Xenopus tropicalis: one gene and its partner. The protein of the gene in region 1 interacts with the protein of each later gene in a biochemical or structural test. Links are inferred from orthologs where the notes say so. Each region holds a gene or a part of one and is shown on either strand. Other genes may lie near its edges.

Evidence for each region. The genes of interacting proteins can lie anywhere in the genome.
Region 2: the proteins of iqgap1 (region 1) and braf form a complex in vitro, tested with the Homo sapiens proteins (2 studies listed by BioGRID and IntAct). The link is inferred for Xenopus tropicalis from reciprocal best matches to the Homo sapiens genes IQGAP1 and BRAF.

The regions. Positions count from the first base shown.
Region 1 is NC_030679.2:106,914,139-106,921,666, reverse strand, and holds the start of iqgap1 (ras GTPase-activating-like protein IQGAP1), read left to right. Parts: upstream 1-2,449; 5' UTR 2,450-2,786; coding exon 2,787-2,835; intron 2,836-7,528. UniProt on the Homo sapiens protein: Plays a crucial role in regulating the dynamics and assembly of the actin cytoskeleton.
Region 2 is NC_030679.2:5,553,994-5,561,551, reverse strand, and holds the start of braf (serine/threonine-protein kinase B-raf), read left to right. Parts: upstream 1-2,895; 5' UTR 2,896-2,984; coding exon 2,985-3,143; intron 3,144-7,558. UniProt on the Homo sapiens protein: Protein kinase involved in the transduction of mitogenic signals from the cell membrane to the nucleus. Phosphorylates MAP2K1, and thereby activates the MAP kinase signal transduction pathway. Phosphorylates PFKFB2.

The DNA.
Region 1 (7,528 bases):
GCTTTCTTGCTTTGGCATTCTGTCCTGGAGCTGAAAACGCTATATTGTTGTTGGGGGTTACAAACCTTAGCAACCACACAACAGCCTGACTGTGAGGCTTCAATATTATTTGCATTCTTGGATTTACTTGCTTATTTTCTTTTCAGGCAAGTTTGTATTCATCTTTTTTTATTTCAAAATTGCACCCTGGATGCTAGAGTAACTGACCCCTATCAACCAAATAATAGTTTAAATTCCTAGCCTGAGAACTACAGATTTTTTTTTTAAATAATTAAAAAACTAGAAAGGATTCTAGAAAGCATGCAGATTTTATAGTAATTAAGGAGATAAAGAATTTACTACATTTAACATTTGCAACCAGCACTCTTACTTATTAAAGGGACACTACTATTAAAATAAGAGTCTTTTTTTCTGAAACACATGTACCTAGCCTAATATTTGATATATATATATATGACCATTTCAATAGAGGGTTTTTAAACCATATTTTTATTTGCCCTACTGAATTTATAGTGATTTTTGCCGCAACAAGTTAATAATAAATATCTAGACTCCCAAAATCCCCAGTATGCAGACCCATTCAGTATTTTTACCAAACCTATCAACTTTAATAAAATGCATTTCTTTTAGTATTGTATTGATGGATAGCAGTATAAAAATTAGAACATTTTTCAAAGAAACAAGAAAGATTTTTAGTTATTTTCTAAAGTGAATTTCAACCACTCATCCAGAAGATGGCAGACATTTCCATTGCATCTTCCCTGCACCACAAAATATATTATTCATATTTATTACACAAAGGGACAAAAATGTGCATAGGTCAACTGCTGCATATTTAACATAACATGAAGACACTAGTCATACCCTTGTTGTAAATACTTTTAGAATAACTCTGAAACAGAAGCTGAAAGACATGTTGATATTCAAAAATAATTTGTTTCAAGGCTAGGGGAAAGGGGGGCACTAGGATACCTCTGTTGCATTTTCTAACTCTAGGGAGTGGCGTTTGATGGTGAGCGAACTGGGTAAGAGGGGGGGCAACGAGTAGGTTTCCTTTCCTGGGGTACCAGTCTGTACTTTCTGGCCTGGCTCTGGTTTGTATAAACAAATATCAGACTTAACTTGCAGCAGGTGTTAGCTAGTTCCTACTTGAGATGTGGCAGTGAAGTTCTTAAGGATGGTACTTTACTAAGATACAAACAGAGCCGCCATCAGAAATCACGGGGCCCGTCACAACAAAATTTTCTGGGCCCCCCTCCTCAATGCCCCCTCCCATCAGTACAAAGGACACACAGACATAAAAAGTAAAAGGGCCCCCAAAATGCTATGCTGGCCAGGGCCCCCCAATGCTATGCTGGCCAGGGCCCCCATACACAGTGCCCCCCATATGCTATGCTGGCCAGGGCCCCCAAAGAGAGTGCCCCCAATTGTCCCCTTACACAGTGCCCCCAATCTGTGGCTTCTTCTTTGGCTGCTTTTTCTGTGGCGGCTTCATCTGCAGTGGTGGTGGCTTCTGCGACGGCAGCAGCTCTGGGCTCCGCTGCGAGACCTTTTATAAGATTGCGCCCGTGCATACTGACGTCACGGATGACAGGGCCGTAATAGATTCAAAGGGGCCCAAGCTAGTCAGAAAACTGTAGCATGGCCGGGCCCCCTTTAAAAGTGAAGATTGCCTGGGCCTGGGACGACTGCCCCCCCTGTATACTCAATTAGCTAATGAAATTGGCCTTCATATGTTGAGAGTGTAATAAGGTCCTCACAGTGGTGCTTCCGTCCAAGGTTAGGTTATATCTGCTACCCCCAGCCCTTAGTAACCCCATAATACTGCATCTCAGTGCAGGGCATCTTAGGACAGTTAATACTAGCTACCCCCTACTACACCTAAGTCACACTACTGCAGCTAGTCTCACACAATCTGATCCTCATTCACTGGGCCCCTTCTCTCCAATGTCCACTGAGACACCTCTTCAACCTTCAGCCTTCTGTCCCTCCCCTCTATGTAGGGAATGCCTTTGAGCTAAGAGGCTTGTAAATTAGCAAAAAGGCCCCCAAATAATCACCTTGCCTGTACTAAGCTGGGTTCAAGGAGAACTCACCTTCCCTCCTCTATTTTATAATAAAACCAGGTGTCATTAACCACCTCACTGTCACAAATAATAACCTTGCTGTGATCTCTCAAGCACCTACTCCTCCCCCTCTCACCTCTCTACATTCCTGCTTGGGACAGAAACCCAGAGCTGCTTCCCTCCCTGCCAGCTTTCCCTTCTCTCAGTGTCTGGCCGCTCTGCAAAGACTTCTTTTCACACGCCCATTCCCGTCTGCATGAGAACCGATCTCTGATTGGTCAAACTGCCGAATAGATCCAATAACATCCCAGCTCTCTACAGCAGAACGGGTAGTGCACTCCCTGAGTTGTATGTGAAAAGCAAAGAGGCACAGGGCGAAGTATAGTCGAATGAAAAAAATGACAACCCTGAATGACTTTTCCCCATTTGACTCAGCAGGCATCCCACAAAGGGTGCAGATCCGGCCATGCAAAGTGTATCTGACTGAGAGACTTACTTTTAGGAAGCTGCCCCAGTCATTCTGCTTCCTGATAGGCTGAGTGGTTGAAGGGGCGGGCAGCCACACCCGGCTCCCTCTCAGTGACTGAGGAATCTCTTTTACCTCCTCTGAAGTTGGCTGAGTGTTCCTGTGGGCTCTGCGGTATTTGCTCTCACCATCCCTGGCCCTTTTCGGGGCATAAAACTAGTTCAGGTCAGATCTGGACGTTATCTGCCAGCACCATGTCCGTTTCGGAGGAAGTAGATGGGCTCGTTCGTCCCCACTATGGCTGTAAGTGGTACCTTTATTAGAATGGGCAGGGGCCAGTGGGTTGGCTGTGCCCTTGCAGGACTAGTGTGTTGTATACGGGCTGCGGGGCAGGGTGGCCTCTCTCTGTTTGCTGCTTGTTTGCTGGATGTGGGAAAGTGATGAGGAGAGGGCTGACGCTTTCCCTAGTGCTTCCTGCCACGGAGCTCACCCTGCGGGGGAAGTGTCCGCCTGTATTCATGCAAGCAGGGCAGGGCTGCCGCAAGGTAACTTCTTGGGGCGGATGGGAGTAGGCAGGCATGTATTTCATGTTTCTGTCTTTTTGGCACAAGTGACTTGCTGCGTATGTACTCTTCATCCAATTTATACAGTAACTTCTCAGCCCAGCCCACCATACACATGGTGCAGGGAGAGAATATGGAAGGGAGGGATACCTGTGGGCAAACCTATTGCATGCAGGGAACATGGGCAGTGTGTGTGTGGGGGGGTTGGGACTGACAGCAACTATAGCTGAGATACACTGCTGGTACTAATTGCACAGAACTGATACCCACATTGTACAGAACTGATACCTAACATTTATTATTAACTATTAACATGCGTTTATAAAGCTAATATTTCTGCAGCACTGTGCCGTGGAAGGTTCTATGCATCAAACATGCCGAATAGATTTGGAAAATAGAGTGGTAAAGAGGGCCCCCATGGATGAAACGCATTCATTAAATATCCAAAAATAAAGCGTTAAAGGGCCCTGCCCAAAATAGCTTAGAAGAAAAGAGTGTATGAGAGGCCTGGTGTAGCGGTGGGGTTGGGCAAGATCAGGAGTCACAAAGTAAGAGATGTGACATTTTACAGGTTGTGGGCTGGTTAGAAATTTTACTTGACATTTATTGACCAAATTAGGACATTATTATATCACAAAAGGCAGTCTTTGGAGCTCATAAGCAGGTTTGGTATCATGAAATAATCCTCAGAGAGCTAGATGCTGTCTGCAGGCCTTATGTATAGTGCGTATGGAGGGTAGTGCTGCCTATAGTACTGTATACAGTAGAGGTTGGCTGGATTTTGATTGTGTATGGATAGCACCATTTATTATTCATAATTGCCTACAAGATAAGAGTTTTTTTTTTTTTCATTTATCCTATATGTTTCCTTTAAGGTTGCAGTAGTTGGCATTAAGGCAAAGACACATGTGGCGATTAGTCATGCAACTTTTTAAAAAGTTGGTTGCAGCGACTTTCCTGCCATAAGTTATTATAAAAGTCGCTGCGACTAATCTCGCTGCGTTTTTGCTGTGCGAATTAGTCGCCACAAATTTTAGTTAAGTTGCGGCTACTAATTGCTACGCGTGTCTTCGCCCTTAATGTTGCCTATGCGGCTACCATCATGGCAGAACTGTTAATAGATCATATTGTTATACACTTTTACATGTACCGAACAGTGTTTCCTTCAACCCTCTCCACACAAACACATCAAAGCACAGATTTTGATCTAGGATAATTTTACACTTGGTTACCTTTTACATTGGTTGACTAAGTCACCTTTAATATGACACATTCAGTATTTGTGGGGAATAGCCTCACAAGTCTCGGCTGTGACATCCAGGTGAACCACGCTGCTGGATATTTCCAGAGGCACTAACCTGTCTGTCATGTGGTCTTAGGGGCCACTATCAGAATATTGGTTAACCAACTGGGATTTCATTTTCAAGTGGCACATGGAAAAGGGTCTGTGCTGGGTTTCAGACCTTCTTGTCTGCCACCCTTCCCCTGCCCTTCACAGCAGCTGAAAGAATACAATCACTTGCTTCTGCCTGGAATGAGGGATAGTCAGTTTTGCATCAGCAAAACCATTATCTATTTAACAGATTCACTGATCTGCTTTTAACTTACAACAACATTATTTGCTAACTGATGTCCCCCAACAGAGCTGTGTACAGCCTTATCACGCAACATTGTTATCCTATATTCAAATGACCGGAACATTTAAAGCTAATGCCACACTGGGCTGATTCTCGGCCTGCGTAGTGGGGGTGTAGTGTAGGGGCGGATTGTCATCCCGTGCTTATATGCTGGCTGATAATCGACCCCATGTGCCCTTGCCCTTAGGTATTTTTGAATTTATCTTCAAGGAAGGCATACGCTCTGTCCTTGTCTGGAAGGGTATATCTCTGGTTATGCACACTAGAATATGATAGGAATCGTAGATTAAGCTCTGGGGCAGGTACAAGCAGGTTATTTGTCTCCTAATGAAACTGACCCTAAGGGTGGAAACACACAGCTACTTGTTGTGACTACTAAAATGATGATCATTTACTGATAACTGTCTCTACATGTGTTTTAGCAGAGGCAGTTCTCAGTATTGTCTATGGCATGGTATATTCTGGCATTTAGTAGCTGCTACTAAGTAGCTTAGTGTGTCTTCGCCCTTATGTGTCAGGGGCGGGCCAAGCCGACTGGGCGCCCTAGGCAACCCTGTCGGGCACCTCGCTAATGACACGCGGTGGGGGCAATGACAGAGGAGGAGGACTAGGGGTAGGCAGGAGAGGCTCCTGCCTTTAGCCCCCTAATTGTTGAGCCCTAGGCAGCTGCCTCTTCTGCCTACCCCTAGGGATCATAGATTAAGCTCTACTGGGCCAGAGACTAATGTGAGGGTCTGTCCTCTCTATCCATCCAGCAGCTGGAGTTGCCATGCCTGCTGCTCCACACTTGGCAGGATTGTGTCTAGGAGAACTTGCTTCAGGCTAGGGTGTTAACTTTTAATGAATGGATCTTGGCAAACATATGCAGGCCACTCCTAGCAGTAGTATGTCTGACATCATTTTTCCTTTTCCCAACTGCTCAGTTCACCACATCAAAGCCCACTTTGTTTTCCATGCAGATATCAGGTCGGCAGGATAGCACATTTTAATCTGTGTTGCAGACCTATATGCATGTCATTTTTGAGAATCCGCCTCTATGCTTGAAGAATCTGAAAGTTGTGTCTGCTCCCGGAAGCATTGCTTTGACCCGGGTGCAGACACATGCAGGGTATTTCAACCAGAAACTGCGTATGCAATTCGGGGCTGAAATACGCTGCCTGTGGCTGCACCAGGGCTGAAACAATGCTTTCGGGTGCAAGCACAACTAAGATTTTTAAAGTATAGGGGCAGATTCTTGGCCCGCACTTATTAGCAGACTGGGAATTTTCCCTGTGTGGCACTAACCTTAATATGTACAAGGCTGATTTTTTTACACTGTTTAAAAAAAGATACAAGTAATGAATAATGAAAATTGTAATTTGTACTGTAAATATTAATAGGGTTTGTGTAGCTGTAATTTTTAGCAATAATTTGACCAATACATGCGCCTGATGACGTTAGGTTTATAAATATATTTACATTGTTTGGTGTGCACCTCTTTGTGTTGTGGATCTGTCTGTCTGTTCTATTTCTCAGCATGGTGGCTCAGTGGTTAGTATTGCAACCTTGTTGCAGTTCTGGCTTGGTTCTGACCTGGGCATTATTTGCAAGGTGGTTTCATGTTCTCCCTATTTCCTCTGAGTACTTCCAGTTTTCTCCCCCTTACTCAAAATTATACAGGTATGTTAACCAATCCTTAAATAAATTGGCTGGGTTTGTGTGTGTATGTCAGGGATTTTAGACTGTAAGCTCTGCTGGAACAAGGCCTAATGTTTCTGTAAATCACTTTATAACATGCATGACAGTGGTATTTCAATAAAGTGAATAATATAATGAATAATAGTTAGAACGATAGATAAAGGAAAGAAGAGCAGAGAAGAGAAAAGTGAGAAAGGAAAATTAGAAAAGAGGGGAGGGCAAAACTATAATCTATGTATGGTGACATAGGCAAAGGAGAAAGATGGAGGTAGTGGGCACCAATGCAACAACCCAGGAAAATTATGCTTTCAGTAATATTCACACCTGTTCATCTGCCAGCATCTAACCAGTCAGTAGGGTTCGGGTAATTTTAGTATGTGCAATTTTTATAACCTAATTTAACTGGAATACCTGGTTGGTTTTCCAAATTGTGAGCCTGATAAAAGTGTGATGCAGATATATTAATGTATGAAGCGTAGCTGCTCCAGGCAAGTCTAATCAGAGTTCTGGGGCATGCCACTACTCGTGCTTCTTTATAAGTCAAATTAAATGTGCAGGGTGCGTTACAGAAAATATCACATTGTTTTGCATGAGAAGGTTTGGTTAGCCCCTCTATTGTATAACATTAAAAGGGCAATTTTCAAGTTTCATAGATGCTTATGGGGCAGAAAGATTTTACTTAGAGACCCTAATGAAAAAAGTGTAGACACGTATTAGCATGTACAGCTTATTCTTTAAATAAGCAGCGAAGTGTTAAGCTGTGGCTTACCCTGTGCACAGAGCATTCTTTGTCTCTGCATTTGTATTTATATCCTCACAAAGCAGTGGGAGTGTTTTTAGGCTGAGGCATTCTGTGATTTTCTTTATAGACACTCAAGGTGCTAAAGCATTCCTTCCAATTGTGCTGTTTTGAATTGTGGACCATAAAAAAGGGCTGGCTTACTGTTGGGGTAGAGGGCTGGTAGATCATGGTGCATGGCTGTGGTGGGTACTTCCAGGTATTGCCTCAATCAGTCCTTTTTAGTTTATGCAAAATGTATGCTTCCAGGTTAATAAATGACTTAAAAGAGCTGAGGAATATTAGTTCTCCCATGTTTAGTTTGGGCCAATTAATAATGG
Region 2 (7,558 bases), about 100 Mb from region 1:
GGGCAGGACTGCTGCTTACAATGGGGGGGATCAGATAGGATCTGTGCCACTGTGACAGAATGCTCTGTTATACAGATAGCTAGAATCTCAGCCATAAAGCAGGGCAGGACTGCTGCTTACAATGGGAGGGATCAGATAGGATCTGTGCCACTGTGACAGAATGCTCTGTTATACAGATAGCTAGAATCTCAGCCATAAAGCAGGGCAGGACTGCTGCTTACAATGGGAGGGATCAGATAGGATCTGTGCCACTGTGACAGAATGCTCTGTTATACAGATAGCTAGAATCTCAGCCATAAAGCAGGGCAGGACTGCTGCTTACAATGGGGGGGATCAGATAGGATCTGTGCCACTGTGACAGAATGCTCTGTTATACAGATAGCTAGAATCTCAGCCATAAAGCAGGGCAGGACTGCTGCTTACAATGGGGGGGGGGATCAGATAGGATCTGTGCCATTGTGACAAAATGCTCTGTTATACAGATAGCTAGAATCTCAGCCATAAAGCAGGGCAGGACTGCTGCTTACAATGGGGGGGATCAGATAGGATCTGTGCCACTGTGACAGAATGCTCTGTTATACAGATAGCTAGAATCTCAGCCATAAAGCAGGGCAGGACTGCTGCTTACAATGGGGGGGGGGATCAGATAGGATCTGTGCCATTGTGACAGAATGCTCTGTTATACAGATAGCTAGAATCTCAGCCATAAAGCAGGGCAGGGCTGCTGCTTACAATGGGGGGGGGATCAGATAGGATCTGTGCCATTGTGACAAAATGCTCTGTTATACAGATAGCTAGAATCTCAGCCATAAAGCAGGGCAGGACTGCTGCTTACAATGGGGGGGATCAGATAGGATCTGTGCCACTGTGACAGAATGCTCTGTTATACAGATAGCTAGAATCTCAGCCATAAAGCAGGGCAGGACTGCTGCTTACAATGGGGGGGGGGATCAGATAGGATCTGTGCCATTGTGACAGAATGCTCTGTTATACAGATAGCTAGAATCTCAGCCATAAAGCAGGGCAGGACTGCTGCTTACAATGGGGGGGGGGGATCAGATAGGATCTGTGCCATTGTGACAGAATGCTCTGTTATACAGATAGCTAGAATCTCAGCCATAAAGCAGGGCAGGACTGCTGCTTACACTTGGGGGGGATCAGATAGGATCTGTGCCACTGTGACAGAATGCTCTGTTATACAGATAGCTAGAATCTCAGCCATAAAGCAGGGCAGGACTGCTGCTTACACTTGGGGGGGATACCTGCTATCCCACAGCCCCAGTCCCTTCCCAGAAGACACATTCAGTTACTGGGAAGGAGTCTGTGAAAATAAGACAGGTATAAGGAGCTTTGTACATGGGGCTCTTTCATATAAACAATTATATTTATGTATACTATAGGTAGAACTATGAGCAGATGTGTATTTCCCTCACAATCCTAGCAGGGTTGTTGGCTGATCTCTATAACAGGTGCATATAAGGTGAGTGCAAGGTGTTATACTCCTCCCAGTGAGCATTTTAACAGGCAATATTTCCCCAGGGGCTACTGTCAGCTCTGAGTGTGTAATATGGTGGTGTGTTGAGCTATGTTCTAGCAATATTCACAATAAGCACTCACCCCAAATCCCCCCTAACTGGCCTTCAGGCTGGGCCCCCTTAGCCCATAACAAGGTTACAGATATATAGAAACATTGGGGTAACAGTCACCCCGCTATAGTTCCAGGGGTACCCAGGGCACAAATAAGCACTCACCCCAAATCCCCCCCTAACTGGCCTTCAGGCTGGGCCCCCTTAGCCCATAACAAGGTTACAGATATATAGAAACATTGGGGTAACAGTCACCCCGCTATAGTTCCAGGGGTACCCAGGGCACAAATAAGCACTCACCCCAAATCCCCCCCTAACTGGCCTTCAGGCTGGGCCCCCTTAGCCCATAACAAGGTTACAGATATATAGAAACATTGGGGTAACAGTCACCCCGCTATAGTTCCAGGGGTACCCAGGGCACAAATAAGCACTCACCCCAAATCCCCCCCTAACTGGCCTTCAGGCTGGGCCCCCTTAGCCCATAACAAGGTTACAGATATATAGAAACATTGGGGTAACAGTCACCCTGCTATAGTTCCAGGGGTACCCAGGGCACAAATAAGCACTCACCCCAAATCCCCCCCTAACTGGCCTTCAGGCTGGGCCCCCTTAGCTCATAACAAGGTTACAGATATATAGAAACATTGGGGTAACAGTCACCCCGCTATAGTTCCAGGGGTACCCAGGGCACAAATAAGCACTCACCCCAAATCCCCCCCTAACTGGCCTTCAGGCTGGGCCCCCTTAGCCCATAACAAGGTTACAGATATATAGAAACATTGGGGTAACAGTCACCCCGCTATAGTTCCAGGGGTACCCAGGGCACAAATAAGCACTCACCCCAAATCCCCCCCTAACTGGCCTTCAGGCTGGGCCCCCTTAGCCCATAACAAGGTTACAGATATATAGAAACATTGGGGTAACAGTCACCCTGCTATAGTTCCAGGGGTACCCAGGGCACAAATAAGCACTCACCCCAAATCCCCCCTAACTGGCCTTCAGGCTGGGCCCCCTTAGCCCATAACAAGGTTACAGATATATAGAAACATTGGGGTAACAGGCACAAATAAGCCCTGGGGTCCCTGAGGGAAATCAGCCCGGTTACAGACTGCTGTGTGAGGTACCGGCCCGTATAATACTTCAGTGGACGGAAAATGAATACATGACGTCAGGGATGCTCCGGGGTACGCGCTTACTGCACCTGCACAGCGGGGCGGAGCTAGCGGCAGAGGGTTCTCCCCGGTCTGACGTAAATAAACCCCCTAGTTAGCGCCGCCCCTCTGCTTTCTGATTGGACGCGCTGTTGTCGGGTACGCGCACGCTCAGTCCGCCCCTCCCTCTCCGAAGCCTGGGAAGACCTGGGTCGGCCGAGCGGGTGCGCGCACCATAGTATCCCTCATGCTCGCTCCCGCGCCTCCGGACCACTTCAAGATGGCGGCGGTAAGTGGGGGATCAACCGAGGGGCCCTCACTGCTCAACGGGGACCTGCTGGAGTCCGAGACCGGGGGACTGGGCGGAGCCGGCGAGATGTGTGCGTCCGGGGGGTACCCGGAGGAGGTGAGAGGGTGAGGGATAGGGGTGGAGTTGGGGAATGGGGGGGGCCTAGGCTATACTAATGTGCAGGGGTCCCCCCCTCAGCCAGTGGTTTATCTCTGTCCGGACTGTACCATTCTCCCTTTATAATAATATACGTACCTTATAGATCTATATATATATATATATATGTATCTGTCCCTCAGTGCCTGGGCTGTACCACTCTATATAATATTACCTGTACAATATATCTATATATGTGTCTGTCCCTCAGTGCCTGGGCTTTACCACTCTATATAATATTACCTGTACAATATATCTATATATGTGTCTGTCCCTCAGTGCCTGGGCTGTACCACTCTATATAATATTACCTGTACAATATATCTATATATGTGTCTGTCCCTCAGTGCCTGGGCTGTACCACTCTATATAATATTACCTGTACAATATATCTATATATGTGTCTGTCCCTCAGTGCCTGGGCTGTACCACTCTATATAATATTACCTGTACAATATATCTATATATGTATCTGTGTCCCTCAGTGGCCTGGGCTGTACCACTCTATATAATATTACCTGTACAATATATCTATATATGTGTCTGTCCCTCAGTGCCTGGGCTGTACCACTCTATATAATATTACCTGTACAATATATCTATATATGTGTCTGTGTCCCTCAGTGCCTGGGCTGTACCACTCTATATAATATTACCTGTACAATATATCTATATATGTATCTGTGTCCCTCAGTGCCTGGGCTGTACCACTCTATATAATATTACCTGTACAATATATCTATATATGTGTCTGTCCCTCAGTGCCTGGGCTGTACCACTCTATATAATATTACCTGTACAATATATCTATATATGTGTCTGTGTCCCTCAGTGCCTGGGCTGTACCACTCTATATAATATTACCTGTACAATATATCTATATATGTATCTGTGTCCCTCAGTGCCTGGGCTTTACCACTCTATATAATATTACCTGTACAATATATCTATATATGTGTCTGTGCCCCTCAGTGCCTGGGCTGTACCACTCTATATAATATTACCTGTACAATATATATATATTTATATATATATATATATATATGTGTGTCTGTGTCCCTCAGTGCCTGGGCTGTACCACTCTATATAATATTACCTGTACAATATATCTATATATGTATCTGTCCCTCAGTGCCTGGGCTGTACCACTCTATATAATATTACCTGTACAATATATCTATATATGTGTCTGTCCCTCAGTGCCTGGGCTGTACCACTCTATATAATATTACCTGTACAATATATCTATATATGTATCTGTGTCCCTCAGTGCCTGGGCTTTACCACTCTATATAATATTACCTGTACAATATATATATTTATATATATATATATATATATATATGTGTCTGTGTCCCTCAGTGCCTGGGCTGTACCACTCTATATAATATTACCTGTACAATATATATATTTATATATATATATATATATATGTGTCTGTGCCCCTCAGTGCCTGGGCTTTACCACTCTATATAATATTACCTGTACAATATATCTATATATGTGTCTGTGCCCCTCAGTGCCTGGGCTGTACCACTCTATATAATATTACCTGTACAATATATATATTTATATATATATATATATATGTGTGTGTCTGTGTCCCTCAGTGCCTGGGCTGTACCACTCTATATAATATTACCTGTACAATATATATATTTATATATATATATATATATATGTGTCTGTGCCCCTCAGTGCCTGGGCTGTACCACTCTATATAATATTACCTGTACAATATATATATTTATATATATATATATATATATATATGTGTGTCTGTGTCCCTCAGTGCCTGGGCTGTACCACTCTATATAATATTACCTGTACAATATATATATTTATATATATATATATATATGTGTCTGTGCCCCTCAGTGCCTGGGCTGTACCACTCTATATAATATTACCTGTACAATATATCTATAAATGTGTCTGTCCCTCAGTGCCTGGGCTGTACCACTCTATATAATATTACCTGTACAATATATCTATATATGTGTCTGTGTCACTGACTGTCTGGGCTGTACCACTCTATCTGATATTACATGTGCAGTATAGCTATATATATGTGTGTGTCTGGACTATACCATTCTCTATGTAATATATGTACAGTATAGACCTATATGTGTCACTCTTTGTCTGGGCTGTACCACTCTCCCTATAGAATAACTATATGTGCAGTATAGATCTGTATCTGTGTCTCTTGGTGTCTGGGTTGTATCACTCTTTATATAATATATATATATATATATATATATATATATATATATATATATATATATATATATATATATATATATAGATACACTATAGATCTATATGTATCTATCACTCTTTATATAATATTATTTGTACAGTATAGATCTATTTGTGTCACTCAGTGTCCGGGCCGTACCATTCTCTCTATAGATAATATTATTTGTACAGTATAGATCTATATGTGACTACTTTGTAGCAATGGAGAAAGTTACTTCTTTTATTTGAGTTTTTATAGCAAGGGAGAGCTGCTACTGTGTTGCACTTATTGTGAAGGGATAATGTACCCCCTACTGTAAATGATAAGGATATTCGCAGTCACTGAGGGGTTCTGTGCCCATATAAAGGCACAAGGCTGCAGGCTGAGTTATACAGGGAACTCTGAGTATCACTCATGTATTATAAGGGATAATGTACCCCCTACTGTAAATGATAAGGATATTAGCAGTCACTGAGGGGTTCTGTGCCCATATAAAGGCACAAGGCTGCAGGCTGAGTTATACAGGGAACTCTGAGTATCACTCATGTATTATAAGGGATAATGTACCCCCTACTGTAAATGATAAGGATATTAGCAGTCACTGAGGGGTTCTGTGCCCATATAAAGGCACAAGGCTGCAGGCTGAGTTATACAGGGAACTCTGAGTATCACTCATGTATTATAAGGGATAATGTACCCCCTACTGTAAATGATAAGGATATTAGCAGTCACTGAGGGGTTCTGTGCCCCCCATATAAAGGCACAAGGCTGCAGGCTGAGTTATACAGGGAACTCTGAGTATCACTCATGTATTATAAGGGATAATGTACCCCCTACTGTAAATGATAAGGATATTAGCAGTCACTGAGGGGTTCTGTGCCCCCCATATAAAGGCACAAGGCTGCAGGCTGAGTTATACAGGGAACTCTGAGTATCACTCATGTATTATAAGGGATAATGTACCCCCTACTGTAAATGATAAGGATATTCGCAGTCACTGAGGGGTTCTGTGCCCCCCATATAAAGGCACAAGGCTGCAGGCTGAGTTATACAGGGAACTCTGAGTATCACTCATGTATTATAGGGATAATGTACCCCCTACTGTAAATGATAAGGATATTAGCAGTCACTGAGGGGTTCTGTGCCCATATAAAGGCACAAGGCTGCAGGCTGAGTTATACAGGGAACTCTGAGTATCACTCATGTATTATAAGGGATAATGTACCCCCTACTGTAAATGATAAGGATATTAGCAGTCACTGAGGGGCTCTGTGCCCCCCATATAAAGGCACAAGGCTGCAGGCTGAGTTATACAGGGAACTCTGAGTATCACTCATGTATTATAAGGGATAATGTACCCCCTACTGTAAATGATAAGGATATTAGCAGTCACTGAGGGGTTCTGTGCCCATATAAAGGCACAAGGCTGCAGGCTGAGTTATACAGGGAACTCTGAGTATCACTCATGTATTATAAGGGATAATGTACCCCCTACTGTAAATGATAAGGATATTAGCAGTCACTGAGGGGTTCTGTGCCCCCCATATAAAGGCACAAGGCTGCAGGCTGAGTTATACAGGGAACTCTGAGTATCACTCATGTATTATAAGGGATACTGTACCCCCTACTGTAAATGATAAGGATATTAGCAGTCACTGAGGGGTTCTGTGCCCATATAAAGGCACAAGGCTGCAGGCTGAGTTATACAGGGAACTCTGAGTATCACTCATGTATTATAAGGGATAATGTACCCCCTACTGTAAATGATAAGGATATTCGCAGTCACTGAGGGGTTCTGTGCCCATATAAAGGCAATAAGTGCCTAATAATTGTCATAAAAATGTTCCGGTCCCAGAGAGAGATGAAGGAATGACCATAATGACAATAAAGAATGAGTTGAATTGTATATAATGCGCCTGAGCAATGTGCCAATATTCATTCCTTCCTCCCAGGGAGCCTTATAGCACACGATTAAAGGGGAAGTAAAGGTCCTATACTGCCAATGGGCAAAGCGCTGCCGAGTATTATTGGCGCCTTTGTGCCTCCATCCCTCTGCTGGCACCGCCCCCCAACAAGTCTCTGCTTTCCTCCTTTCATGTACCTCCTTTCCTTTTTATTTATATATATATATATTTTT